Linked DNA regions of Schizosaccharomyces pombe. The protein of the gene in region 2 purifies or fractionates together with the protein of the main gene of each other region. This does not show direct contact. Each region holds a gene or a part of one and is shown on either strand. Other genes may lie near its edges. The genes, in order: gpl1, nrl1, spf38 and cwf10.

Evidence for each region.
Region 1: the proteins of nrl1 (region 2) and gpl1 purify together in Schizosaccharomyces pombe (affinity purification with mass spectrometry; 4 studies listed by BioGRID). This does not show direct contact.
Region 3: the proteins of nrl1 (region 2) and spf38 purify together in Schizosaccharomyces pombe (affinity purification with mass spectrometry, with the first as the bait; 2 studies listed by BioGRID). This does not show direct contact.
Region 4: the proteins of nrl1 (region 2) and cwf10 purify together in Schizosaccharomyces pombe (affinity purification with mass spectrometry; 2 studies listed by BioGRID, with this or other methods). This does not show direct contact.

The regions. Positions count from the first base shown.
Region 1 is NC_003424.3:2,118,983-2,126,508, reverse strand, and holds gpl1 (Gpl1-Gih35-Wdr83 complex RNA-binding subunit), read left to right. Parts: upstream 1-4,095; 5' UTR 4,096-4,300; coding exon 4,301-5,905; 3' UTR 5,906-6,079; downstream 6,080-7,526. Other genes in the region: gih35 (ATP-dependent RNA helicase), read right to left, coding at 1-69, 118-182, 231-308, 352-442; whi2 (phosphatase activator), read right to left, coding at 705-1,517; rad57 (DNA recombination mediator, RecA family ATPase Rad57/Rhp57), read right to left, coding at 2,060-3,057, 3,153-3,219; mde1 (5'-methylthioribulose-1-phosphate dehydratase), read left to right, coding at 6,225-6,346, 6,390-6,413, 6,457-6,534, 6,594-6,671, 6,720-6,895, 6,939-7,147; ATP-dependent 3'-5'-directionality DNA helicase fml2, read right to left, coding at 7,289-7,526.
Region 2 is NC_003423.3:3,289,038-3,294,606, reverse strand, and holds nrl1 (NRDE-2 family protein), read right to left. Parts: upstream 3,722-5,569; 5' UTR 3,576-3,721; coding exon 1,735-3,575; intron 1,697-1,734; coding exon 786-1,696; intron 742-785; coding exon 575-741; 3' UTR 501-574; downstream 1-500. Other genes in the region: mitotic spindle checkpoint protein Mad2, read right to left, coding at 1-28, 75-221, 263-332; nse4 (non-structural maintenance of chromosome element 4), read left to right, coding at 3,979-4,042, 4,086-4,166, 4,211-4,469, 4,513-4,606, 4,645-4,864, 4,910-5,001, 5,049-5,141; SPOM_SPBC20F10.03 (uncharacterized protein), read right to left, coding at 5,517-5,569.
Region 3 is NC_003423.3:4,399,430-4,406,682, forward strand, and holds spf38 (U5 snRNP complex subunit Spf38), read left to right. Parts: upstream 1-5,000; 5' UTR 5,001-5,131; coding exon 5,132-5,176; exon of another isoform or gene 5,177-5,217; coding exon 5,218-5,322; exon of another isoform or gene 5,323-5,360; coding exon 5,361-5,433; exon of another isoform or gene 5,434-5,482; coding exon 5,483-5,742; intron 5,743-5,787; coding exon 5,788-6,031; intron 6,032-6,092; coding exon 6,093-6,388; 3' UTR 6,389-6,457; downstream 6,458-7,253. Other genes in the region: TIM23 translocase complex subunit Tim21, read left to right, coding at 1-562; adn2 (transcription factor), read right to left, coding at 1,187-3,418; U1 snRNP-associated protein Usp109, read left to right, coding at 6,542-6,558, 6,598-7,253. UniProt on the Schizosaccharomyces pombe protein: Involved in mRNA splicing where it associates with cdc5 and the other cwf proteins as part of the spliceosome.
Region 4 is NC_003423.3:4,048,272-4,057,535, reverse strand, and holds cwf10 (GTPase Cwf10), read right to left. Parts: upstream 4,981-9,264; 5' UTR 4,936-4,980; coding exon 4,910-4,935; exon of another isoform or gene 4,866-4,909; coding exon 4,506-4,865; intron 4,468-4,505; coding exon 4,116-4,467; exon of another isoform or gene 4,057-4,115; coding exon 1,840-4,056; 3' UTR 1,557-1,839; downstream 1-1,556. Other genes in the region: protein Mtl3, read right to left, coding at 1-1,368; SPOM_SPBC215.11C (aldo/keto reductase family protein), read left to right, coding at 6,154-7,074; odr1 (haloacid dehalogenase-like hydrolase ), read right to left, coding at 7,449-8,357. UniProt on the Schizosaccharomyces pombe protein: Component of the U5 snRNP complex required for pre-mRNA splicing. Binds GTP.

The DNA.
Region 1 (7,526 bases), on a different chromosome or scaffold from region 2:
ACTTCCAGGAGGAGAGTTCAGTTCCAAAGATACTCGTTCAGAGACGCTCTTTGCTACGAGTCTTCTGGGCTTTCAAATAAGTTAGGAGGATGATAAATAAACAAAGTTGTGACTAACCTGTGTACATCCTATAATACCGTTTTGGGACGCCCATCCAGCTTCGTATAAAAATTGAGGGATTTCTTCAAGATTATTTTTAGTTTAATAAACCATCTAATCAAAATACTTACGAGTTGTTTTACCACATCCTGTGTGGCCTAACACTATAGTAATCTGATTTTGCTCTACTGCATATAACAACTGGTTTCCTAAATGTAACGTCAGCAATGTAAGGGTAAAACAGCTACATACTGTATTTGGTGATTGGTAATAGCTTTTTCTGAATATTTAAGGGTGTATTTGTAAGAGTACTAAGCGATTGGGAAATAAACTCATTAGGCATACTCTTGCGTAGAGAGCATCAAGTAAGTGGAAGCACTTTCATGTTACCACAACTAGATTGAACGTATTGTAATATTTATAAAAAACAGTATTAACAAAATTCAAATAAAAAATTATTATTCAAAATAAATATACTACAATAATTATCACGCAATTTGAGTAAAATCTGGGAAACCTCGTAACATTGGTATCTGTTAAAAGAATGGCTGCATGCACGGCCTAACTTAGCAAAATGTTTTTTAATCTTATTTTTACTAAAACACTTAGTCTTGAGAATTTTCACGATTTCCCATAATCGTAACTTCCAACAACCACTGCTTTCTCCTCCAAACATTGATTAAAGATCCGTTTACTTTTATAACTTCGTTTATCCACCAGCACTTATTACCTGGCTGTCCCCATAGCTTCAAAATTTTACTCAAAAATTCTTCGCTTAATGAGGAGCTCTCGACTGTTGTTATGATATACGACATTAAGCTCATTAATTTTGGCTCCTTTACTCTCTTGGCCCATTTATCGTTGTAGCGAAATCCACAATGCTGTAATGCATCAACTAGCGGTCCATCACTCAGCCCTTTTCGGATTTTTTTTTTGTCTGCACTTTCAAAAACGTCGTTGTTCTTGAAAGTTTGCTCTAATAAGTCGCTCCTGATTTTTTGGTCGACGGGCTTTTTATTTTCAGAAAATAAATAGATATTGCAACATTCTGTTAAGAATAAAACGAGGGTAGTATTCGATATAGGATTAAATGCAATTTTTGAGGGATAAGCATTATTACTTTTTTTAAATAATGGTAGATAGGTGTCCAAAATCCATTTACAAATGGAAGGGTCGATTTTGTGGCATTTGAAACATGATGAGACATCACCTCCCTCATGTTTTAAAAGCAGATGAAACCCATTAGGAAATAGAAGTGCCAACACGGTAGTTGGTAATATTGGAAGTTCAACGCGATCAATGACTATTAGTTTGCCCCGGATGTTGAAATGTATTTTTTCTGGAAAAAACTTTAAATTACTTTCCAGTGTATTGGCTAAAGTGTCAACCGTATTGATTCGATCAATTGGAACTGACATTTTTGTGTTCTATTTTTGTAACGATTATGTTATAAAAGAATGTTCATTTTTTATTTACAAGATATCACCAATGCATACTTGGCTTTTGGTAAAAATGTTAGGTGCAAATTTCTAAAGGATCGCCAATAGCGGAAGCTATCGGAAAGGTCTTACAAAATCTTTTACGCGCAATAGTAAAAACAGGTAGAAAAAGCCATTCGTCGGTTAAGAGAGCTCTTTGGGCATTCTTTGTTACGTGTAAAACTTTTTATTGTATTTTTTTCCATTTCAATACCCAACTGGTATATCCAAAATTCAGTCCACTAAAGTATGTCGGATTCTAATAAAAATGCACTACCATCATAGATCAACAAAATATATATTTAATAGTGACAGAGGTAATATAAATATAAAGATAAATAAGTACACTTATATATGTAACAGTTACTCAAAGCATTACTTTTCTTTCTGCGAATGATTGATAAGCGACAGTCGATTAAACAAAGTTAGGGCAATTCATAAACCGGTTTTATTATATTATATATAAAATTTTTACAAAAATGCTAGCACGAATATATCCCAACCGATCCTATGCATATTCGTACGTCAAGCCTTGGAGAATTTGGTGAATAAACAACCCGAAAGATTCTCCCCGAATTATTGGTGGCAGAGTCGGTTTTCTTAATTAATGCTAATCTCGTACTGATGTTATTAGTCCAAACGAGACCAAGAGATGGTATTTTGGGATTTGGATCTGTGTCATCCCATCCCGAAAACCATTGCGATTGATAATCTAAACTAAACAACCCAATAGCATCATAATCTCTAGGAATTCTATCGCTAACTTGGTTAGCTATGACAACAGCAGCTTCATGTTGATGAGCTAAAGTGCGTAGAGTCATAGCTAACTTTCCCAATTGATTTCCACGTTTGGCAATATTATCTAAATCTCTAAAATGACTTTTGGATCGGTTGTAACGGAGCTCAGCTCTGTAGTTGGAGGCGACACTATCCAATATAACCAACCCAATTTTATCCCGATTGAATAAAATCGGCAGTTGATACTGAATGATATGTTCTTGAGATTCCAGATCTGGGCATAATATAGTATACACCCTATCTCCTGGATTTTTTATAATTATGTCTTTCTTATCAGCTTTGGGATACCTTTCTGGTAAATAACGCGCCAGTTCAAATAATCGTTTTGTTTCAAGACCGGACTCTGTAGAAATGAAGACAGCTGCTTTGTTCATTCCTCCTAAACTGAGAGGTAGTTGAACCATTAAACAAAGCTGCATACAAAACTGTGACTTCCCTGAACCGCTTTCACCACATATTTCAGTTAACTGTCCTACTGGTATACCTCCATGTAGAGTTTCATCCAACTTTACATCGCCAGTTGTCAAATATTTCGAAGTGACTTTGGAAGCAGAACATCTTACTGGTTGAAGAAGGAGGGATATCTGCTCAATTAACTGTAATAACTCACTTTGACTACAATGTGTGCGTCTTTCTAGCTCAGTAATATCCAGCGTTAACAAATCAACCGTGCTTACTTCTCCTAAAGCTGTCAGTAATTCCGTCTTTTAAGATCCCGGTACAAAAACCCAATATTTTTTTTTTATGTGCAAGCTTATTGAACTACTAAACGCTTACCTAATTCAAATGCTGAAGCAATTTTCTCATCAAAGTAGAAATTGTCAACATAATTCGAAATATCCATCCATATAGTAGAAAGAAAGAAGATTTTTAATTGTAAATATGATATGTATAGTTTTTACTCATAAAGATAAATGAAAATTATATCCACACCATAGAATATTCGAAAGTTGATAGTTTTATATAATGAACAGCTTTGTATCCTACGATTGAATTAAATTCTCACGATTATTTAGAAGTAATAGCACGAACTTCTAACCCACTTTTTCGCAGAAAGAAACGGTAATTTATGTACCACTATAGAAGTGGTGAGTCGAAGATGTTGTACGCGAATTACAACTGACCTGCCAATACCTCTATGTTTAGTAATTATAATCCTTATGAGAAGAAGCCCCGCAATCGACGAATATTTATATGAACATTGGTTTTTATAGAACATTAGCATAGTAACCGCTTACACTTATTTTTTTAACATCTTCAAACCATACATCTATGAAAAACCCCACGTAATGATACACATACTTGCCTAACCACCATTCCTTAATTGATAATTAAGTTATCAAGATATGTGAAATTATATAAGCAGCATATCCAAATGTGTATTGCTCATTAATTGTTAGGCATTAAAATTCGTAGTATGGTTGAGCAAACGAAGTATAAGAAATGATGTTTTACCAATCAACCGACGATAATTCGCTCAGTTTACCAGCTACCAACAAATTTCTTAGTTTATGAATGCTTGGTTCAACATGAAGTAATACTAAATAGAACTTTGTTGAGATTTCTCAATAACAGACAAAATATACATGATACATTTTTCATCTCATGAAACTTCAACTGTACAAAGAATTAGGTAATAGATAAATAACGTACCCTAACGCTCGCAGATTGCACTACGGAGGCAGCTGAAATTCGAAGCAAGGGCAACTGTTTAAAAATTGAGTATTGTAATTGCTTTTGTCAACAAATCAGAATTCTTTGATAAGTTATCTGGCTTTATTAAAAATTAAAAGTTGCTCAACATAGTATTCTTGTCGCCTCAAAAATAATGGGCTTATAGTATCCTAAAATATGCCTTAAATTTTGAATTTTGAATTTTTTTTTTTTCAGTTTAACTACGGATCACGATTACTTCTTGTTTTAAAATGTATGCCAATTCAAGAAAAAGAAGCAATGTCGATGTTCATCGGCACCCTTATGTAGTTTATGGCTCCCCTTTTGATCTTGAGCCGTCCAGAATTAATCAAGGAGTTCCTGTTTGGAAACAAGAAGCCAGGGATGAGCGTAATAGAAAGAGATTTCATGGTGCATTTACTGGTGGATTTTCTGCTGGCTATTTTAATACGGTTGGTTCAAAAGAGGGTTGGCAACCTAAATCTTGGAAAAGTTCAAGGAATGAAAACAAAAGTGTGCATGGAATGACTATTGACGATATTATGGACGAGGAAGATCGTGCTGACCAAGAGCTTAGTAAAGTTTATACTTCGAAAATAAATACGATTGATACATCTATACCAATTGATGATCCTCTACTTAGAGAATTCTCAAATAGGGACGATAGCATTGGCGAAAAAATGTTAAAAAATCTTGGATGGAACGGTCATGATTTTGTTATATCTCCATTTCAAGGGTATTATGATGACACTAAGTTAACCAACCAAGCTTATCACGGTATCGGGTATCAAGCGGACGATGTTTTTCAGCTGGAAAGAAAACCAGTTGGAATGGCAAAAAATCTGCGCGGTGGATTTGGATCAGGTGTTTTAAATGATGATGGGATAGAAGATCAAGATATATACGACCTCGGTGCTCCAAAAATGCGGTATGATAAATCTATCAACATTACAAAAAAAGTCGCTTCTCCATTTACACCCGTTAAGCATACCTTTCTGTCAAAAAAAGACAGAAGCAAAGGGAAAAGCATAATCAAATCGCAAAATTGCTCAGATGGTCTACCTCCCCTTCCAGGATTTGTAGTGGTATTTAATTTACAATCACCTTTTCAAAATAATTGGTTTCCTCCTCCTACAATACCTGAGGGTTGGGAGCCAAAACTTTTTACAAATTCTCAAGGATTTTCACAAAAAAAAGCCCAAACTTCAAATGAGCGCTTACCACTTTTTGCTGAGAAAAGTGAAACAAATTCCAACGGTGAAGCAAGTTTACCTAGTGATGTTAATCATGGTGTCAAGGAAGATGAGGGATCTTGGCAACTAATTGACATTGAGACAGCTAAAAATGCAATGTCTAGGAAAGATAATCCCTATAACGATGAGCGTGCCGGAATTTACGAGATTTTCCTTAAGGCGCACCTAATGAATATGCCACGATTACTCAGAGATATTGATTCTCGTCATTTACTAGAATTTACTCAAACAGCTTCACTATACCGACCTATGTCAAAAAATCTATCGATGCGTTTCGTAAGTTCTTTTGAAGCCTCGACTAAAAAAGAGTCGATTAATTCACATAGTGAAACTGATGATTCAATTTTGAGAAGACCTCGTACAGTTGTTACATTCATTCCCGAACGTCTTCTTTGTAAACGCTTTAATGTCGCCTTACCGTACGGTCAAGAAAAACAAAAGCGTAAAAATATTTCTTCTATTGAAAATGTACCTATTATTGCTGAAATTGAAAACAAAAGTATCGATTCAATTGATACAAGGAAGTTGAATCGACCCCAGGATATAGAAGAAAAACCAAAAGCTCCCCAAACTCTTTTCAGTGCAATATTTGGGGATGACTGAATAAAAAAATTATTAATTGATTTCTATTGTACTTTATTTTCATTAGGTTAATAGACTGTAATAAACTTTTTGTTTTAAGCAAAAACTTAGTACTTCCTATTTATTCAAGTGCCATGACACAATGTTTAATAATTTCATAAAAAAAAATAATAATTATCAAGATAGCTATTATACACATCAATTCTTTACTTCACTTTGTTTGCTTAATGTCGCGTAGATTAAACTCACAGTTACTTTTGCTACTTAAAAATTTTTAAACGTTAATGAAACGTGACCCTTTTCAAAATTTTTCATCAAGATAATTATCATCATAGTAATAATGGATGATTTTCTAAAGAAAGACTTAGGATGTCTTCGTTCTGGCGATTTGAAAAAATGTGGTGAATTAATTTGCGAAATCTGTCGAGATCTGTATACGTCGGGCTGGGTTACAGGAACTGGGTAATTACTAATTTGAATTTAATATAACTAATAAAAGAATCAGAGGAGGAATTACCATTCGCTCTGGGTACAAAGCATTATTAAAGCGTCAAATATTAACTTTCATGTAGAGATGCCATTGTAATCGCTCCCTCGGGTGTACAAAAGGAAAGGATGGAGTTACACCATCTTTTTGTCATGTCTTTAATGTATGATATTATTATTGTCATTGTTTTTATCATTTTGAGTAGATGCTAACCTCTTGCAGTACTCGAGAATATATGCGAATGCCAGCTCTTCGATTGAAACCTTCTCAGTGTACACCTTTGTTTTTAGCAGTATACACGTAAGTCAGCAAAGTTGTTGAACATTGAATTCTTTACTAAAGCAGTAGCTTGCGTGACGCATATGCATGTATCCATACCCATTCTCAGGAAGCCATTTTATTGTCTACTCTATTTGCGGATTCTGATCATTTTTCGGCAACAGGTTTTGAAGTACTATCGTATATTCCAAAAGGATCTAAAAATAATGGGTTTCATAAGCCAACAGATAAGATAAAAATTCCATGTATGAGTTTACAAACTTTTATAAAAGGCTGCTAACCGAATAGTTATCAATAATACTGCTCATGAGTCTGATCTTCATGATAGTTTGCAAGAAGCGATCAATTTGTACCCAGATACTTGTGCTGTAATTGTTAGAGATCACGGTATTTACTGCTGGGGCGATACGTGGCAAGATACCAAAATGAATACTGAAGCGGTAGAATTTTTATTCCAAGCTTATTTACGGAGAAGAAGGCTTCAAAAACCAGAATAGAAATTTTGTGACAGCTTGAAAGACATTGCGTTCTAAGGTAAAAGTTACTATATAACAAATAAATAAGCTTAAACTCACATAAGTTCCTACTAAAGTTTCGGATTATGATATTTTTTTCTTTAAGGTATTTAATCAGTAATTTCATGTACTTTGAAATAATGCATTCGACGTTTTCTTCATCCGCTTCCGTTTAAATTTCTCTTCATATTTTAAGTATTTGGTGACAGAGGAAGGCGAGCATTGTTGCAAAAGTCTACCCCGTCTATAGATGCTGAGCGTTAATAAAGAATGTGGTACTTTTGCGAACTTAGTCAATTTGTCACCCATATAGGTAGGCTTTGAAAATACATTGCGTCTGGCGTTATAAATACAACTTCTA
Region 2 (5,569 bases):
TTTTGAATTTTTTTTGCAAACATCCATTCTAAAAATTTGTTAATTCCAAAAGTGATAATAGAACAACAACTCACTGTGTAACTGAGATACAATTTTTCGAATGTAAGTCTTGACCTCTTCATCTACACTGACAAGCATATTTAATCCATATTTCCGAACAACTTTGAAGTCTTCTGCTGGGTAAATTCCTCGTTGAAAAAGGATTGAGTTCACCGCATATTCTTCATTAAGTTAGCATGGCATATTTGAAACATTTACAAACCAAAAAATTCGCTAACAAGTTTGGAAGAACCTTTCAGTGAAAAATTCGTTCTTATGGGAACGCTAGACATGTTGTGTTGTAGATTTTTGTAATAAGCAATAGGTTGTGTAGTAATTGAGTAGGTACTGCCATGATGGTTGCTTAGAGGTACCCTTTCAACGTAAAAGCAACCATATAAGCATTTAACAAACAAAAGTGAAAACTTTAATAATAAGACTACTAAAGCATTTACGCAAACTTGAAAGTAACTAATCTGTCATTTTAAACTCATTTCACTATCTCTATCATTAAAAGTCATTGATCGTAATAATGTCAGTTTGGGGACAAAATAAGTTCATCTCCTCTTTCAAACTTTAAAACATCTCTCCTTATTTCGTTATGGACTCTAAAGCCTTTTTCCAACATGATTATATAGCAAATAATAGCCCGACTCTCCATCTCTTTTTTCAAGAGCAAGTCTATAACGTCCATACAAACCCCTAAACTTAGTCAGTGAAATGTTCTATGTTTTTAATTAACTTACCTTTATTACAGGGGCAGGAAGCCAATGCTTTGGTGGTAATCGCCGAAACCCATTCAGTACCATTTAATCGCAAATTGAGAATCTTTAAATATATTCTCCAAAACTTGGCGACGGATTTCAACTTTTCATTATTTAGAGTGATATCCAAAGTCCTTAAAAAGTACTGTGAGTTTGTTGGCTCAATCTGTTGAACGGCAACATAAAAAAGGTACCAACAAGCTGTAACAACAGCATTTGAAGCAGATTTTAAAATTTTCATAGCCCTAATTTTTGGTTTGTTCTCTTGTCTCAACTTAGATTCAAAAAATATATAAACTTCCCATATAGCCGTATTTGCACTGAAAAGTGTAACTCCCTTTTCAAAAAAAGGTCGAACCTTGGGTAGATTATAGAATTGAAGAGTGGTAGCTTGATAATAAAAAATCAATGAACAATAAGAAAAATAGCATTCCATTTCTGAAGAAGCCCCCCATCCATAGCTTTCGAATTTTTGAATGCATAAATACACACAATTATCCATTGAATCCATATCAGTACAGTGTGTCCATATAGTATAGATAAGACAAACATACAGCAATTCTTCCTTGCTGGCGCAATTTTCCAACATACCAAATAGCATTTCGGATGCTCGATTATTATCGCTAGTTAAAGATTTATCACCAGGAAACAACAGGCATTTTATAATAACTAAGCATCCTTCAGTATCATTAATAAGTAGCTTTCTAAAAGCCCAGTTTTTGTATACATTTAAATTATCAATGTAGCGCAATTGGGAAGCATGGATCTGAAAAATTGTTTTAAAAATTGTTTCAGCCATAGTAAAAGCACCACTTAAGTGTTCCAATTGAGCGTAAGTGTTCCAAACAGACACTGAACTATCGTATTTTTTGAGAATCTTCTTTACAATTTTACTGAATTTGGTTAGAAGGAAACAAAAACATCTACTTACTTCACTTGGGGTTTCTCCTCACTTAGGTTCTTCGTCTCCATTTGCTTTAAATAAATTAAATAAACGCTCGCTAAATACTCATCGTCCGCCGAAAATACTAGTTGATGAAAAGCACGCTCCATTGATTCCTTCACATGATGTGCAAGGTTGTAATCAAATAACTTGAAATTTAAATTTTTAAACGACATAAGAGAAATGAAGAGATCAATGTATGAAGGTAGTATACTACAGGGAAATTGAAAGCTGTTTTTCTCAGCTATCTGTCCATTTATAAAGGATTCACTGGAAGCCATGCCAAAAAGCAAGTTGTAAATTCCTTTGTCATAAGAAGCAAACCATGAGTTTGTTGAAATCCCCGGTGGAAAAAGAGGTACTCCGCAAAATGCAAAAAATTTATACTTGAATGCGAAAGCAATCGTTTCGCTTTCAAAACAAACTATAAAGTCTTGTATGTCATTGAAGACAATATACCTAAATGGATCATCTATTCCTGAAAGTTTTCGACAACTCATGGTACTACGTGGAGGAGGATTAGTATCAAATTTGCTTTCGTTAAGATACCATAACTTAACTGTTTGAAATATTCCAATTTCTGAACTGAAATTTTGATTTTGCTGGCTGGACTCATCATCAAGGACGTTACACCATCCCCTAGCATTTTCTTCAGAAAACTTCGGAGTATCTGAATTCCAAAATTTAGAAAAGCTTTCAAAAAAAGTACTGTCAAGTTTTTTTTCCAAATACCGCGGATAAAAATAACATAACTCCATGTTAGCTTGAAAAATGGACCAAGCAAGCTCATAGTATCCGCAATTCTTCAGAAAATCGCATAGTCGGATAAGCAAATGTAATATGGCCTCCTCTACTTCAAAATTGGAAGTTACGTCTGTCGATTCTCTTTCCTTACACGATTTTCTATCGGATAATTTTTGCTTTAAAAATTTGAAGCACTTAGAAAACATGTTTAGACAATCATTGAAAGTAAATTCTGATATTCCAGTAAAATATTCGGCATATTTCATCCACAAATTAAGATAACCTGGATGCTCAATCAATACTTCTTCGAATTTCTGATTAGTTTCTTCTTTACTCCATTCTTCTGAGCCCAATTGGAGATAATATGAAACCAATATTTCATGATCACATCCTTTAACTTCTTTAAGTGCCTTTTCCAGAATTGATAGTTTTACGCTTCTACTATTGTTTTCAATCTTCAGTTTACCTTTAATGTCGTCGGAATTGCTCCGTCGAAATTCATCAAACAAAAGTCTTTCTTGATACTCACACATTTTTATCCATAACCTTGCTTTTCCTGGGTTTTTTTTTATTTCTTCATCTGTTTCCTTAATAGCCTTCAGAATATTTAAAGAAAACGTTGACTTCTCGGATGGATCCGAGTTTCTATTAACCAACAATGGAATAAATCCCTGCTGCCCATCTTCAAATTCACTTTCATCGTTTTCTTTTTCATCAAAGCTTCTTTCTTCATCATATTTGATTTCCAACGATTTTTTCTTATTCAGGGTTATGCCCTCCTTTGACTCTTTGACTATTCGTAGCAGAGGAGCAGATCCATATACGGAACTTGAAGATCTATGATATTTAGGAACGGGCCTCTTATTAATCCCGTAAAGTAAATTTTGCTTTTCTCCTTTCGTGTCTACAGCGAAATTACTTTGAATTGATCGATGCGAAGGGAAACTCGATTTCGCATGATTTGAGGAAACTTGATCATGAGATGATCGATATTTTTTATTGCTCTTTGTAATTGGATTTTTTTTTGCCTTGACTGAGTTAAAACTCGAAAATTTTGGAACAGACGTGTTATGATTAGACGGCATTATAGGTGTTTATGAATTAATAGAAAAAAAGTACAAAGGCTCCCATAACTAATATTCTTTGAAATGATCCAAATATACTAAATAGTTTCTGCCGTATATACCAGTATAATTTGCATATGCTCGTTGACAAAATATTTGCTGGCGTTAGCAGCAACACTTGGTTATTAGCATCAACTAACGATTAAGCTAACACTTAATGGCAACATTCTTCTTCAACGTTTTACTTTTTTAATTTTAAAAATTATTAATCTAAAAGCCAATCTTGGAGAGTTGTGCTTAAAGGTTGAAAGATTTGCTCGCGATCAAATCCTTCATGAGGAAACTGGGCAAATTTTGTACTTCAAAATCTAATTTCGTCATCTAGCTTATATTTGAATAAAAACTATCACAAAAAACCCACGATATGTCCTCCATTGATAAACGGGATCTTAGAAAACGATATAGGAACTTAATAAACAAAGTTCAAGGTCATGTACAGCTTTACTTTATAATTTACTAACATTTTAGCAGAAAGTCGTTTGGAACTGGTTGATGAGGAAAACAATAACTTATATGAAACTATTACTACTGCTAATGATTTATTTTCTTCAGGTGAATATCAGTGTATCTTTGTCAGTTGTTAACATAATTAATAGTTGATGCTCCTACTGAAGCAACCTTAGATGCTTTACTGCTTACTAAAACGGTTGATCTGGCTTCCATTAAAGCTAGGCAGCTTCATATTGGAAGGCCCAAGTTTAATATTGAACTATTCACAAAAAATATTAAGCAATTCCTCAACTATCCTACTTCCCACTCGAATGTTACTCGAATCCAAGAAATTGACACAGCATGGTCAAGACTAGGGAAATTGGCAAGTAATTGCGAAAAACAGCCCGCTTCTCTGAACTTGATGTATGTAAAATAGTTTCTCCAATAGCGTATCTAACCTCTTTAGGGTCGGTCCTTTATCATTTCGCAAGAAAGAAAGAAACATCCAGCGGCGAGAAAGACTACAAAAAGCCCCGAATGTGCTAACTCAACCTACTATGGTAATTTTTATTTTTTTTATATTTTCTAACTCAAGAAGCTGAATGAACGTAACATTACTACCCAAGAAAATAACACCACTAAAAATGTCTTGCACATATCTCGTTTACTTCAAGCACACCAGCCTGTTAATTTTTTGAAATTCATCACCAATCCTCAAAGTTATCCTCAAACAGTGGAGAACTTGTTTTATGTCAGCTTTTTATTCAAAGAAGGCAAAGCTGCCCTCGTAGAAAACGAAAGCGGGATTCTCATGCTTGGTAAATCAATTATATTTAGAATTTGAACTATTATTAACTTGTAAGAAACACGCATTCCTCCAACGGACGATCAAGTCGTGGCAGGCGAAATAAGAAACATTCAATTGGTACTGGATATGACAATGGATTTGTACGAGGTGGGTGTATTCATGTTTAAAAATTTTTCTAACCTCTCGAATGACAGAACATAATTAAAGAATACAATATCAAAGAAAGCATTATTCCTACTCGAGCACCCGTTGAAACATCTACTAACAGTAATACTTGGTATGGCTGATACTAATACAACAATCTTTAATTTCAAGTTTAATTACCCATATTTGACATAACGCTTCGTAATTAAGATAAAAACAATATATTAATAGATGATAAAAATAAGAGCTTTCCATAACCCAAACCTTTTATACAATCAAGTCAATTCCTTTCTTTTTTAACAAGAAGAGATCTGATTCAATAAATAAATAATAAATAATTTTAGAAGCAGCAAGAATATTTTTTGCATCAAAACTTTTAGGTTATGAATCCACATGATAACCAAATAAATAAATAAAGGCAGAACGTTGGGGAATTGTAGGACTAAGTATTTATGCAAGCAAATTACTTTTTTCATAACATTGTAAGACCTGATGAGCAACGGAGGATGATTAGATTATTAATTTTGAGAAAAGTAGACAGAATTGATATAGTCAGCTCTAACGCGCTGAT
Region 3 (7,253 bases), 1.1 Mb from region 2:
AGAAGAAGGGCGCCTGGCACGAATTTTCAAAGATCCGTCTAACAAAGCTTGGAAGGATTTGACGGCTCCTCAAAAAGCATACAGAACTTCTGCTAATATTGGAAATTTTTCGATTGTGATATTTGGAGGCGGCGTTTTCGGATTGATTATATATGCACTTGTCACTAGTATCTGGAAGGGCGAGGCACATTACGGTGATGAAGCTTTTGAACTTTTAAAGGCTAATGAAGAATGTCGATATGTTTTTGGAGATCACATGAAAGCCCTAGGTGAAGCCACGCATCCTCTTCGTCGAACTCATGGTATATTGACTAGTCGTGTGTGGGATCACCATGGTGTAGAACATCTAGTACTACAATTTCACTTAATCGGTAATGAGAGAAAAGGGCACGTATTTGGAAGACTTGTAAATGTTCAAGGTGACTATAAATGGGAATATCTTTTCGTTGATGTTGCAAATTACGGAAAAATCATAATTTTTGATCATACCAATTCTGTACGACAACAACATAAGAATTTTGGTTTATGGGGAAGCTTAAAAAATATTACATGGGGAAATTAGAATTTCCGAATGATAAACGCACGACGGAAAGGTATAGCTGTTAATTTCAACCGAAAAGGAAATCATTGAATTATTTCTCGATTTTAATGGTTTGATTAATGGTTTTTCGCAGAGAATTAATTTTCTAATTTACGAATTAATTTACAGGCGATGTTAATGATTTTTATCAGAATTAGCACACTTAGTTATGCAGTATTTGGATGTATATTGCAAAAAATAAAAAAATCGTCGACACTTTATTACTAATTAAGCGATCGAACCTCATGATTTGTTGTTTAATTAGTTAGTATAAAGAAGCGAATTTGTACGAGGGGCCTTTTCGCAGGGGCTGATTAATCGCCAATCTAATGTACTACCTAAATGTGTTTAGTTATAAAAAATATAAGAATGATTCAAAGCACATGAAATAATTTTGATTATTAGATATAAAGTACAAGATGTAGGCCGGTATTTATAACCGAGTACACTAATCCATATCCAACTAGCAATTAATTATATATTAAATTTTTATAATGACAAAACGCAACGCATTCAAAAAAGATGAAAAAATCTGGTATATAATTTCCAAATAAACAAATTAAAAAAGAAGAAAAACAAGGATAAAATACTTAAGTTTCGACAAAATTAAGCAGCAGTCGAGTCTTCATTATCCGGCAAATTAAACAATCCAAACCATAAATCGTCACCAGTACTAGTATCTTTTAAAAATTTGTCGAAGTCAAAATCATTTAGAAGAGCCGCATCGATGTCTGTTGAATTTCCAACATCCAATAATTGATTGTCTGAAGATTTAGTGGCAACTGTGGTAGACTCCGTAGGTGCAGAAGGAGTCGCGGAAGTATCAGGATTTGATTTTCCTGACTGATTTTGATTATCCAACTCAGAATCGGATTTGTGAACATTTGCTCCTTGCGATGGTTCCAAAGCAGGACCTACACTTGTTGCTTCATTTGTTGATGATTCGGGGTTGGTAGTGTTGACGGTCGGTGCTGGAGTTGGAGCATTTGAATTAGCAGAAGAAGGCTTTTGTTTTGATCGAACGTCCAATGGAGAACTGGCATTTGGAGTGGGTCGCGATGAATGAGTTTGTTGTAATTGCCAATTCCCCATAACGTCCATTCCATTGTCCGCATTATTTGTGTCAGAGGTAGATGAGTTTTCAATCAGATTAGAATAGTTTGATGGATGATCACCTGATGTACGTAAAGGAAGACCATTTTGTAACATAGGCATATTTGACTCATTGATGCCATTAAGATTTTCAGTAGTATTACTATTTTTTGTTGAGACCTTTACAGGAGATGTGGTGGCTTCTGTAGGAGTGTCAGTAGATTTAGGAGTAGTGCTTTTGGTTTTTGCAACACTAGATTCAGTAATAGTCTGAGAAAGCGGTCTATCAGGCGATGCCGATGTGTACCCTTTTCTTTCTTTTTCCTGACTAACTAACAGAAGCCTCTTTTTATTCTGTTGTTCTAGTAGCTTTAACTCCTCCATATAATTCTTGAGAGCTGGGTTTAGACGACTGGGGTTTGCGTTTCCGTTAAAATTATATAGCATATTTTGAGAGTAAGGAGAATTAGAGAATCCGTATTGGTTCATTTGATTTCCAGAAAATTGCCCAGTTGAAGGCTGTTGAGCAGGTTTAGGTTTGTCTAAAGATTTCTGTTGTTGAGGAAGGGTAGAAGAAGGTACTGCTCCTCCTTGTTTGAGATGTGGATTTCTGTTTGAAGCAAAATTTATCTCGTGAAGCAATGGTTGAGCAGAGTTTTGAACAACAGGGTATTGTCCTCCGTTAAGACCAGTGGTATCGTACAACGGATTCGACTGGGGAACGGAACCATTAGGAGTTGCCGGTAAACTAGGGCGAAATTGAGCATTAGATGGAGCACCTTCTGTTTTGGGTGAAGAAGGGATGGATCGAAAATCGGAAATTGGACCTTGCTGCTTAGGTGGATGTGTATCGTGAGTTGTAGGTTGAGAAGTCGTGTTTTGCATTTGTGGGGTAGAACCACTTTGTGGAGTTTTCTTTTGCTGGTGCTGCTTTTGTTGTTGTTGCACAGATTGTAGCTGCCTGTAGTGTAATTGTTTTAATTGTTGAAGTTGAGCAGCGGTCGGGGGAAACGTTTCACGGCTTTGATTATTTAGCATAGCTTGCCGCATTAAGTGCTGATTTCTATCGTTCAATCCACCTGCCCCTTGATGAAACTGAGATGAGTCAATCTGCTGACCCATTGCGTTGGCAGGATCATGGGGAAATGAGGCGTTTGCATAAGGGTGAGAAGTATTTCCAGTGTGTAGAGAGTTTTTTTGAATTTCTTGCAAATTTAAACGAGATTTCTTCCTAAGATTGCTAATATGAGACATATACGCCTTTGCCGGCTCAGATCCTTGACCCCGACGAGCATTGTAAATATCCCAAAAAACATTCCACCACTCGATTAAAAAACCACCAGCTGAATCGATAGGCAAAATAGGAGGTGGCGGCGGAGCAGAAGAAGAAGAAAAGGAATCTAAATTACCGTTATTTACATTCATGTTTTCATCCGAAGATTCATTATTACTTATACCTTCATGCTTTACAGCAACAGGAGACATTCTTTTGTGACGCTTAGCTAAGGAATTGGTTTCTTCTTGACTTCTGACGAGCGTTTGTACTTGTGCTTCACGGCCAAAAGCTCGGGCTGCCTCACAATAATCCTTCTTGATTAAATAATCATATATGTACGAATTCAGTAAGGATTGTGTGGTCCTATCGGCATTATTTACGTGCGGTTGTTTTTGATCTTTTTGTAAATCATGTTTCTGTCCTTGCTGGCTTGGCAATCCGACGCCGGACCTTAAACCTGGATCAGCCATAAACTAGAAATGTGCAGAAGTTAGGTGTTGCGAACGAGAATATGGATCTACAACGATGCACGCTGGCGATATATAATTTTAAAGATCTGCGCACGCTATACTACCGCAACATTTTGTATATCATATTTTCATTTTAGTTTTCTATCAATTACTGAAAATCATAAAATCATAAATGTTATGTTTGAATTTAGTTACAGAGTAAATCAAAACCCTTGAAGAGTAAAACTCTATAGAGGTTTCTTATTTTCCAAGGCAAGTCATGCTCTAAAAACATTTTTAATAATAGTTATTATGTATATATTCGGATTTGAATTATCTAAAATGGGCTATATTAAAATATGGTTCTAAGATGATATACTTTCAATGAATCAACCAGTGGTAATTTCAGATTTTATATATGCAAACTTACTAACTGAAAACTGTGGAATTAAGGGATAGGTGGGTTTAGAAAGTAAATGTAAATTGATATTTCTTCATCCGTAAAAACATCATAATGAATTAAGAATACTATTAGCCGCAGTTTTTTGTAAGAATGCTGTAATTATGTAGATAGTATCAATTATTCTTGTTTTATTTACCTTGCCTTGGAAAATATACATATCTACAGCTTTTTACATAAGTTAGCGATGTAAATACTAAGCACTGGAACTCATATTATCATTTTCTAAAGTTGTTAGAAATGCTTTTAGTAGTAAAGATTTTGGAATGTGTTCACTATTCGAAAACTAGTTGCAAATTGTGTTTTTCAGTAAATCAAGCAAGATGCTTAATTTTGGCACTACAAGTTTTTAGAAAGTACTTACATGAAGATTGGAAGCTTTGCGTAAATTTGTTTAGTTTCACATATTCCACATTTTAGTTTTCTATAATTCATTTTTTATCAAGTAGAAAATTTAGTTTCTCTCTTTCATTGCAAATGCTATAATCCGGCTTTAGAACTACTATCTACTGGATAATCCTTTATTATTGCCATGCTAGATTCCCTGTAGAATTATGGATTTTGATATTAATCAAAAATTAATTTCTTAAAGTACAAATATATTCGACGGGAGAAAGTTTATGAAATTTTGTATGCGGTTATACCTAATCAGTGATTATCTCGTTGTTTATATTTCAATTTTTGAGGCGACTAGAATAGACAATTCAGCCCAGAAAACCGTACATACAATTTTTAAGTAGAAAAATTTGTTAATAACTATACCCAAAAAAAATGTGATTACGCATCTTTAGCTAATGGCAAAATGCTTCTCAAGTGTTTTTGATGGTGGTAAAATCGAGATAGACTAGATATTAAAGCCGCTCGTTAAATATTATAAGACATTAATTGATACTAGTGTTTTTCCTCAAGCACAAACAAGGTCTGTATATAGTATACGGAATAGATATTTCTTACAATTTATTTATACTGTTTAAACGAATTTTAAATGGCTTCCATGAGAAGGGTAAATTTTTAGGGATTTTGCCTGTAATCAAAATGTTGTTCATATAAATTCTACTTTAAGTCCTGTTTATAGGAATGAGCTCATCATTCCTCGTTATTTGAACACCAAAGAAAAGTCCGATTTATTGGTATTTTGGTTGTGACAGAAACCCCTGCGACGATTGTCGATCCGTTTTATATATTTTCCACTCCCGTCCCTGCTATTCATTTTACGTTCTAATTCTGAAAACTGTCAATCAGAAATTGCAGTTATTATATATAGTAAACTGGAAATGGATAAACGAAAGGAATCGGAGAGTGCGACTAATGGACATTTAGTATGTTCGATTGCTAAAAAAACATGCACTAATATAAATAGGTTAAAAGAATTAGAATCCAAGATTCTAGCTTAATAACGGAGGGTTCTGTATTGCAACGAACATCTGATCTCAATGTTCCAAACCTACAGATGTTTGGGCATACGGTATGGTTGTATTGAAATAAATCATACTAACGCTTTAGGCTGAAGTTTTAGTCGCCAGGTTCGATCCTTCTGGATCATACTTTGCTTCTGGCGGTATGGATAGACAGATACGTAAGTGCAGCTGTAATTAAAATGTTGATTTATAATAACTGTGGTTTAGTTCTTTGGAATGTGTTTGGTGACGTTAAAAACTACGGAGTATTAAATGGCTGCAAGGGAGCCATAACTGATTTACAGTGGAGCAGGGATTCACGCGTAGTTTACTGTTCTTCCTCCGATACACACCTCATGTCTTGGGACGCTGTCTCTGGTCAAAAAATCCGGAAGCATAAAGGCCACGCTGGCGTGGTGAATGCTTTAGACGTTTTAAAAGTTGGTTCCGAACTTCTGACTTCTGTAAGTGATGATTGTACTATGAAGGTATGGATATTGTTATTAAAATATGGAATAGTTACTAAATTTAAGGTATGGGACTCGCGGTCAAAAGACTGCATAAAAACAATAGAAGAAAAATATCCCTTAACGGCTGTCGCAATAGCGCAGCAAGGAACCCAAGTTTTTATCGGTGGTATTGACGGAGCTATTAAAATCTGGGATTTACGAAACAATCACTGCTCGCATGTTCTGAAAGGGCATAAAGATATCATTACTAGTTTGGCTATATCTAAAGATGGATCTAGCTTACTTTCTAATTCTATGGACAACACGGGTATGCTAATTTTTTTTGGGTGTTTGATCAACCTTTGTACTAATGCTATTTTAATTTATAGTTCGAATATTTGATGTAAAACCTTTTGCTTCTGCTCAACGACAGTTGCAAATTTTTGAAGGAGCTATTCACGGACAGGAGCATAATTTGTTAGGTGTTGCCTGGAGTCGTAATTCACGATTCGTTGGTGCTGGTAGCTCTGATAAAAACGTATATGTTTGGTCAGCCACAGGCGATTTACGTTATGTATTACCCGGACATGAGGGTTCAGTAAATCACGTTGACTTTCATCCACATCAGGACATCATTCTTTCATGTTCCTCAGATCGAACAATATTTCTTGGGGAATTGAATTAATTTTTATTTCATGAATAATTTTTCAATAAACATTAAATACTATTAAAATTTTCTGTAGAACTTATTATTTGACGATCTTAGTTGTCAAGCCTGTTATAATTCCTATAACTACAAGTTTCTTAGATTTCGATTAATTATCAAATTATATGCGTTATGAGTACATCTTTATGGTAATGATACATCATCTAATCTTATTTCTAATTAAACAGGTTAAATAACTTAGAAGAATGGATGAATGAGGACTATATTCGAGCAATTTTTGAAAATGTTAGAAAAGTAAACTATTATGAAGATGGCGAGTCGGGAGCTATTTTAAAAACTTGCTGCATTGAATTTGAGAGTCAAGATGCTGCTAGGAATGCTTTAGAAAGGCAATCTACTCAACGATTAATATCTGGGAACCCGATCTCTTTAGATGTGGTTCCTGAATGGCAAAAACCTAGTTACTATATGCTTTTCATTAGTAACATTGATCCAGAAGTGTCTGAAAATGATATAAAATACTTGTTTCAACGTTATAACTTTATTTCTGCTCGTGTTCTACGTTGTGTTGACGGGACTTCAACTAGCATTGCTTTCATATGGTTAGCTAATGAAAGTGATATACAAAACGCGCAGGTAGAGATGCAGGGTGCCTTTTGTTTAAAAAGATCTATATTAGTTCATTCCGTCAAATCCGATAAAAATACTTACTTAAGTTCGCCTGGGTTTTATGGTACACCTCAACCACTAAATCAATTTACTGATCCAAACAATACAGCAGTTTATGTTCACCAACTCCCCGAAAATATAACGACACAAGAGCTACGATCATATTTCCTCCACTTTGGTGAGATTTTATACACTCAAGTCAATAATAATAGTG
Region 4 (9,264 bases), 760 kb from region 2:
TGAAGATGAGCTAGCAGTCAGAATTGGTTTTGAGCTCAAGCTCGATAATGAATGGCTAGATGAATGACTAGAGCTTCTGCTAGAGGTGCTGTTGTGATAAAAAGCTGAAGATACTGGAGCAGAAGAGGATTTAGAAGACGAGGATGATTTATGACTTGACAAAGACGAGGAATGAGATGAAGAGCTCGCGGGACGAGAGCTTGAAGAAGAAGAACTTGTTAACGTAGAAGACGAAGTGCTCGAAGAAGAAGAAACAGTAGAAGAGAAAGAAGAAGATGACTTTGAGGAAGAAGTAGTAGAAGAGAAAGAAGAAGAGGAAGGAGAAGATGATGATGATGAAATAGTTGAAGAGGAAGAAGTAGGAGAAGAAGAGAACGACGACGACGAAGACATAGAAGACGAAGAAAGGGTGGAAGAGAAAGAAGAAGAGGACGACGACGACGATGAAATTGTAGAAGAGGTTGAAGTGGGAGAAGAAGAGGAAGAGGAGGAAGAAGAAATAGTAGAAGAGGTAGATGTGGGAGAAGAAGAAGAGGAGGAGGACGAAGAAATAATGGAAGAAGAAGAAGACGAAGATGAAGCAGTAGAAGAGGAAGAGGAAGAAGACAAGGACGAGGAAGTAGAAGATGATGAAGAAGAAGTAGAAGGAATAGAAGAAGTACTTAATGAAGAGGAAGTAAGTGTCGAACTAGAGGAGGATGAAGGAGAGCTCGATGAAGAAACAACACTTGAGCTAGACAAATAGGAGGAGCTAGTGGAAGTAGGAGCTGCGCTACTAAAGGTTGAAGAAGAGGTGGAGCTCACAGATGGCTGACTTGAAGAAGTGCTTGAACTCAAGGAGGAAAAAGTTGAAGAAGTCAAAGGATCAGAAGATGACAAACTTGATGAAGAAATACTTACTTCAACACTAGTACTGCTTGGTAAAATAGCTGATGATACAGAACTTGGGTCCAGAAGAGAACTGGATTCCGTACTAGAAGGCGTATATTCAGAAGAAGTAGGTGAAAAGAAAGAAGTCGACGAGGGAAGCTGACTAGTTGCGGGATCAGAATAAGAGCTGACCGGAGACGAGTAAGAATTAGTTTCTGAGGGAGTAGCAGATTCAGAAAAGATACTGGGTTCACTAGAGCTAGTGGGTGTCGCATACCCGTAGTAAGTAGGAGTTCCTCCAGTTTCAGCGGCACGACCATAATATCGGATTTCCTGACGCCTTTGTAGTTCCTCTTGAGAATCTCTGCCCTCAAGTTGATTTAAAGATATTTTTGTGAAGCTGGAATTACCATATATTTGATGCACCAAGAAGGCTTGCGTAAAAATGTTCGATATGCAAAATACGCAAATGAGAGAAAACAAAAGTCTCAAACCCATCTTCAGTTTTAAGGATAATAATAAACTAATCTAACTAAACTCGCTGTATTTTACTTCCAAAAGCAGAGCACTTCCGGAAGTTGTATATGTCCCTAAAGTCTTCCGGTATACTGAGAGGGTAACTTCATGACATATGACCTCGGGTGTTTATAGTACTATGAAATTACGTTATTTCAGTTGAGTGTTAGTTTCTTAACATAAAAAAATAAATAATAGAAGTTATTTATCTATATACTAAAATCGTAAAACCAAAATGCGACTTTTCCTTCTGATCAAGGATTTCACAAATAATTTACGGCTTCAAGATATGCGCTGATTTTTCGGATTTCATACACTGTAAACGCGAGATTTGAAAGCAAAAAAAAGTTGTTAGACTTCTCGAACTTTCATAAATAATCGTATACTTTATTATTAAAATCTACCCAATTTATTTTTTTTTGCAAAATCCATTATAAAGACTTAAAACCGACATTACAAAGAGAGTACGACACCTGCTTCTTTCAAAGAATCAATCATTTCTTGATCGAAATAGCGAGTTGTAGAAACATCTTCCACCAGACCTTTTCTACGTCTTGTCTTAATCAGAAAGTCTCTCGCCAAATCAGAGCCACGTGCGGGTTCTAATGGCTTGGGCTTGATAGACTTATCCAGTGGATCACCAGGTACTACCTGCCAATGATCAAATACCATTTGACACATAGCTTGACCCTGAGTATGCACTCGTAAATCTGTTTCAAATCCACAAGAATCAATGACTGGAATAAGTGCTCTCACCAAATATAATGGGGAACCTGGCCGAGGGATATCTTGGAGGACATGACCACGACGACGCGTTAATAAATCATAAATAATAGGAAGACTGTCAGCGGGGGCATGTACTTCAACCATATACACTGGTTCCATTAGCCGTGGAGACGCTGTTAAAAAAGAAGAATAACACACTCTCCTTGCGGTTGGAATAATTTGACCACCTCCTCGATAAATTTGTTCAGGTGCAAGCACTACATCCATCAGGCGAAAATTCACGTTTCGGATTGTCTCATCACATAGAGGACCTTCCCTAGTCCCCCATTGAAAACCTTGTTTAATGTATTCTTTTACGCTATTAAGCACGTTTTTATCAACATCTGTACTAAGAGTATCATCCCGCAATATATTCGTACCACGATCATCGGGACCAAAAGCCCAGATGGAACGTGAAGCTAGTAAGTCCCAATCGTAGTTCTTTTGGAAAAATTCGCTGATTCTTTTTTGAGGCCAATTGATATTAACTTTTCCATTTTCAATGTCATTAGAAATTCCTTTCTCCAATGGCTCAACTACCATTGTGATACGATTTTTTTTATTTGGAGTATCTGAAAAACACTTGATACTTGATGTGTCCACCGCAGTCTCACAGAAACGAGCAACTGGATCGGAAACTCTGATTTCGATTTCAGAGTATAAAGTCCGAAGATCATAAAGTAGACAATCCATATACATCTCACCAGTACCGAAAATAGTATGTTCCCCAGATTCTTCTACTTTTGTGATAGATAGTGGGTAGCTTTTGTTTGTTTTTCGTAGGCCATCAAGTAGTTTTGGTAATTCTGATGGATTGTGTGGCTCTACAGCCACCTTGAAAACACTCTCGGACATGTGAGCAATTGGCCTGAAAATGTAAGGATCATCTTTCAAATTGTCCGAAACGATGGTTGCTGTTTTGCTAATAGAGTTATCAACACCTCCTAAAAGAACTAGCATGCCGGCAACAGCTCCATCAACGTGAAGACGATATCGTGCGCAAGGTACACATATTTCAGCAATATGAGCAACCACCATATCCTCTTCGTCTTCTAAAGAATAATTTTCTCCAAGAACTTTAACTTTCTGACCCTTTTTAACCTGACCACTATATACACGAGCAAATGCATAAAAATTATTAGCATCGACGGTGTTGTAAAGTTTAGTAACATGCATGACTAATGGTGCTGATTCCTCACGACTCATTTCTAAGATAGCCTTGCCGATACTAGAGTTTATAGGCCCAATATATGATTGAGAGGCTTTACGAGCGGCATTTTCTCGAGGCGATGGAATATGTCTAGTAACTGCATTCACAAAACCAACGGGGAATCCAAAAAACGATGCGCAAATTAGTTGCAAGAGTGGTTTAGGATCTAATAAATAATCCTTGGGTTTTAAATAAATTTGGAAAGAAGATAAGTGTTTTTTGAGTTTTTCGGCTTCGTCAGAAATAGTAAGGGTATGTAATTTATACAACGGTTCTAATATGAAATGGACAAAGCTTCTAACGCCAGAGCCATCCAAGGACTGTTTGGCAAATTTTCTGGTTTTCGAATCGAAATAAATATCCCCCCACAATCTTTTAGAAAATAAGTCCACGTCGATACCTCCATGTCTATCTATATAGAGTTTTGCGAAACTAGACAATGTAAAACAATATCCAAGATCACATGAAGCAAAACAAACGTTCCCTAACTCAGGAGAAACGCGATATTTCAAATCTTTACTAATCTGGCAAATGTTATCGTTTACTTCGTCGATAACGTGTCGAAGTTTATGGTAAGCATCATTCGGAGGGAGACGTAGCTCAAGGATTAACCTATCAACTTTGTTCAAGACGAGCACAATTGGCATATCGTGAAGAATCGCATGTTTGATAATTCTAGTGGTGTTAATCATCACCTAAAGCATGTTAGAATCTTTATATCTTCAAAACGCAAGAAAAGGCCAGAATAACTTACACCTTCAATAACATCAACGACTAATACAACACCATCACTTATGGCCATAGGAGCAGCGACTTCATCAACAAAATCGACATGACCAGGCGTATCGATGCACTGAAATGCAAACGTCTTACCCTTCATATCAGAAACTGCGAGCGTAAGTGGAGTACTTTTTATAGACATCACACGTTCTCTTTCAAGATAATGAGTGTCGGTATATCGAAGTGAACGCCTTTTTGGCGGCTTGGTGTCAGGATGGGTATAATAAACGAGTAAATCTAATAAAGCGCTTTTGCCGTGATGCAGATGGCCAGCAACAATAAAAGATCTAACGTCATCTGTCCCAGTTAAGAGACCGAAGAGGAACCTTAAAAAGTTAGAAAAGACATTGTTACACATACTTACTCTTTCTTGTATACAGTATCTGGGACGTTTGTTGTTTCTATAGCAATCCTTTTGTGACGAATTGGCTCAATAATGGGCTGGCTTAAGGGTTGAGTATCCTGTTCCTGAACCATGATATCCACGTTGGACCCATATACCTCTTCAGCGCTAGGATAATATTGTTTATCCTCGTGAAGAACAACGGCATTCTGAGGCTCTAGATGACTCAACGCCATTTCCTCGGCCCTTTCAACGTCTTCTAATTCTTCATCAGGAATGACCTCTTCAAAGGATGGTACCTGTGCAATTGTAGGGCTAGGAGCCTGAGGAAACAGCTCCTCTTCATCTTCTTCATTTTCAGGGCCTATGTAATTTCCAAACCTGGCGAGTTAGAAATAACTATAAAATGTTTTTAGACCACTTACTCATCATATAAATCCTCTTCCATCATCAGTTACTGCCAAGTACCCACAATGCACAACTTTTGGTAATTACCAAATTTGAAGTAAAGTGTAACCAAGTTTTCGAGCTTTAGCGCATTCATGTCTCAACTGCGATTTATATCTCGTTAAGCTTTGATAATGAGCTAGAGAAATCATTGTCTTTATACTCTCTAAACGAGATATGATCGGCTCAGTAACTTCCACTACACTCTTTAAGGTTGCCGAAGAACGACATCGTCTCATTTTGATAGAAAGGAATGAATCGTAATTATTGAAAACCAAATATACTTTTTTATTTACCAACTTCCTCCTTAAAAGTCGTACATGGGTGTAATTGAGACCTTAAAAGACTGGTTATGTCTACGATTTGAGCTACCGACCCATGTTTAGCAGCCAAATTTATAAGCTTTTCGAAGACAATAGTAAGAGTAAATAGCCATTGTAAAAGTGCGGTGCAAACATTTTTAGAGCGCAAGTTTTGCAACTGTACAAAGTATTTAGTGTGTTTATAAAACACACAACAAATTGCTGAATGTCAATAACACTAATAATATACTGGCATCATCAACTAAATTCAAAAAATGTGTTTCCTTTCAAATACAGTCCTAGAATTGTTATTATGTGCAATGTTTACCTCGATTTACGGAACTGGTCAACCCATTTGTGGTCTCCAAATGATAACTCGTAGTACGATTTGATAGCACGATCAAGCATAATTCAAGAAGATGGAAAATATAAATCCACATTATCTTGAATAGAAAGAAACATAGCAATAAAGATCATTATCGTTATGTGCGACCATCGTTGCTCATGAATAAAAATGGGCTGGCAAAAGAAGACAGAGATACAGTTTAGACAATTCATCCAGCATCAGATTTTGGAACCATAAAATTATCATTAAATTGAATAAGAGCCAAATCAAAAAGGACTTAGCTATTTACTCTAATTCAAAATCCAACCAGCAATATCGTACTATAATAGTATTAGTCATCGTTATGACAATATATTGTCTAACGCGCTCTTACATCATACCACTGGATTCTGTAAATAGGGTATGTAATAAATCAGTTTTCGTGGTTTAAGATAGTCCGCATCAATCCAGCTTATGTAAGGAATACACCATGTAAAATTACTATAAAAGGAAACGGCGTCTGACATCCCACACTTACCGGATCCACTATAGTACTTGATCTTGATTTCTAAGAAAAGCGACAAAAGACACAAAAATGAGTAAAACTGCAGCTTCTTCCGCCGTAGATGCTTCACAAGCTGGGACTGTCAAGGTTGGCGACATGGTTGTCAATAGAATGGGATTCGGAGCAATGAGAGTTACCGGTGATGGTATATGGGATGAACCCAAAGACAAAGAGGCTTGCATCGCAACTTTAAAACGTTTGCCTGAACTCAATATTAACTTTATTGATACCGCCGATTCTTACGGCCCTGAGGTCAGCGAGAATCTTTTACGAGAAGCTTTATACCCTTACAAAGGACTTATAATTGCTACCAAGGGTGGCCTTGTTCGTACAGGTCCAAATGAATGGCATCCTTGTGGAGCACCCAAATTTTTACGTCAAGAAGTACTTATGAGCATGCGTCGACTTGGAGTTAAGCAAATTGACCTCTGGCAACTACATCGCATCGATCCCAAGGTTCCTCGCAAAGACCAATTTTCTGAAATTGCAGCTATGAAGAAAGAAGGATTGATTCGCCATGTTGGATTGAGTGAGGTTACAGTAGACGATATCAAAGAAGCTGAACAGTATTTTCCGGTAGTTAGTGTTCAGAACTTATTCAACCTTGTCAATCGTAAGAATGAGAAAGTGTTAGAATATTGTGAACAGAAGGGAATTGCGTTTATTCCTTGGTATCCCTTAGCTTCAGGAGCATTAGCCAAACCCGGAACCATCCTGGACGCTGTTTCAAAAGACCTTGATCGTTCCACTAGTCAAATAGCTTTGAGTTGGGTTTTACAACGCAGTCCGGTTATGCTACCTATTCCTGGTACTAGCAAAGTAGATCATCTCGAAGAAAACGTCAAGGCCGCTGGAATCCAATTATCTTCTGAGGTGTTTGCCAAATTGGATGAGGAGGGTAAAAGCGAAGATGCTAAGCGTCAAGAAGAGGAGAAGAAAAAGTCTTCTTAGATTTCTCTTTTTCTTTCTATGGAAACTTACTAATGCCACGATGTTTGGAATTTCCATATGTTGATAATGTTATAAAATGATCTCATGATTAAATTAAAAGCATCTTTTTGTATTGATTTTTCATATTCCTCGTAAGGTCTACAAGGCACTGTTTAAGAGAAAGCAGTTTTTAACATGCTAAAGTAAAAATACACGGCATTCACAGAAAAATAGTTATACCCGCGGCTACGTAAATAAAGAAGTTTACGAATGCTTATATATAATATGTATTGTAATTTTCGTTATTTTGATATTTATTATTGTATGGGAATTAGATATTGAATTTTTTTTGTTATAATTTAAACAGGAAAAAGATACTATATAGGTTGTTAAATTTAATTAAAATCAGGAGGGATATTATAAATTCGTTCCAACACTTCACCAACGGCACCTTCAGCACTTGAAACGTCGGAAATTGCCTTGGCTGCCTTTAAGGCGACAGGCATTCCACTACGAATGGCTACGGAATAGCCTGCCAATTCAAACATGCAAACATCATTTGCTCCGTCACCAAAAGCTAGGACGTTTTCCAAGCTAATGGATGGATAAATCTTTGAAAGAATATTCTTGAGCGCAACCCCTTTGTTATCATTGGGAGGAATTATTTCAAAAGTCTGGGGAAGCGCTTGGGTAAGAGCAACTTCATCCGAAGGAATGCCAGCCAGTCGCTTTTTGGCTTCTTCAAGGCCGTTAGTATCATCATCAAAAACTACCATTTTATTGAAGATGTCTTTCGGGCCCTTAAGCTGAGGGAGCATTTCATTGGCGTCGTCCTTTACTGTTTCCCCACAGAGTCGCAAAAACTTAATACCATGTTGTTTTTTATCCGATTCCTGTTTAATTTGGTAAACGTAATCTTCATCGTAACCGAAAAGTGCACACGTTTGGATGTCTTTGAGCTTATCAATAATATCGATGGCTAAAGAGTTTTTAAGAGCTGCGCAAGCAACGATTTCACCTTTATCGTAAACTACGCAGCCGTTAAGGTGAACACAAGGAAAGACATGTAAACCTAACGCTTCTCTGATATTACCTACGGATGTTCGCTGTCTACCAGTAGCTAACACAAAAGGTAGCTGAGGATAATTTTCACGAAGATACTTTAAAGCACGAAGGTTTCGCGGATGTGGCTTATGATCCGGTCCCAGCAAAGTACCATCAACATCACAGATAATGAGTTGAATATCCTCCGGTTTAGGTAAGACGTTTTTCTTTTGATTAATGTCAATTTCTTTAGACGGCATCTTTCTTTTTTGTATGAGATTTTTAATCAAAACACTGTTAACGTCCAATTTACCTGTCTATGATAAACAATTGATCAATTTATTTAAAAATCAAAGTAACTGTTTTCACAAATACCCACAATGATCTATCGTATTTGTATTTATAGCCCGAAAGATGACACAGATACAATATAACTTGCTGACTAATATTGCTGTATTGAAGAAGCGTACCTGTCGTTCACAGCTGAGGTGATCCCTTTGGTTTGTGAATACAAAGGTTGTGGGGTGTTTAAATAACTTTAAGTAGCATTCCCCACTTTTGGGATGACAAAAGCATGTTGAATGCCGGACCTTCGGTAGTCAAGATCTCGATCCCACTCCGGCGCGTTATTAAAACAGAAAGAGATATTGTACGGCAAGACGAGTATGGAGGGTTTGTAAAATGAAGGGTATGCGTTTGTAGTGAGAAGGAAAGAAGAGCAAACAGCTGTTTGAATAAACATGTAAACAAAAAATGCAAAAAATTATTTAGACAACAAGTTAACGCTAGCTTTGTTCAAAAAAAGATGGAGAGATTATTTAATTTTCCTTTCTTTATTTTCTTTGAAATTTTTTCATTAGGATTTTTATTATACATTTTTCTGCTACGTGAAATTCTGTAGCTCAAACTGTGGGAAGTTCTTTGACATTAGTACAACTATACTTTTGGGACCTTGAGCCCAGAGCAGTTGCCTTTCGCTACACTTACAGTTTCACCAGAACAGAGACTACACAGGAACTAATTCACCGTCGTATAGACATTGTAAGACTCCTTATTAAACTTCTAACTAGCGATGTCCTTATGTAGAAATTAATTATGAGCTGGAAATGAGCTGGAAAAATAAAAGTAAACAAAGAAAAAGGTAATAATATTTAGTTGGATCTATCA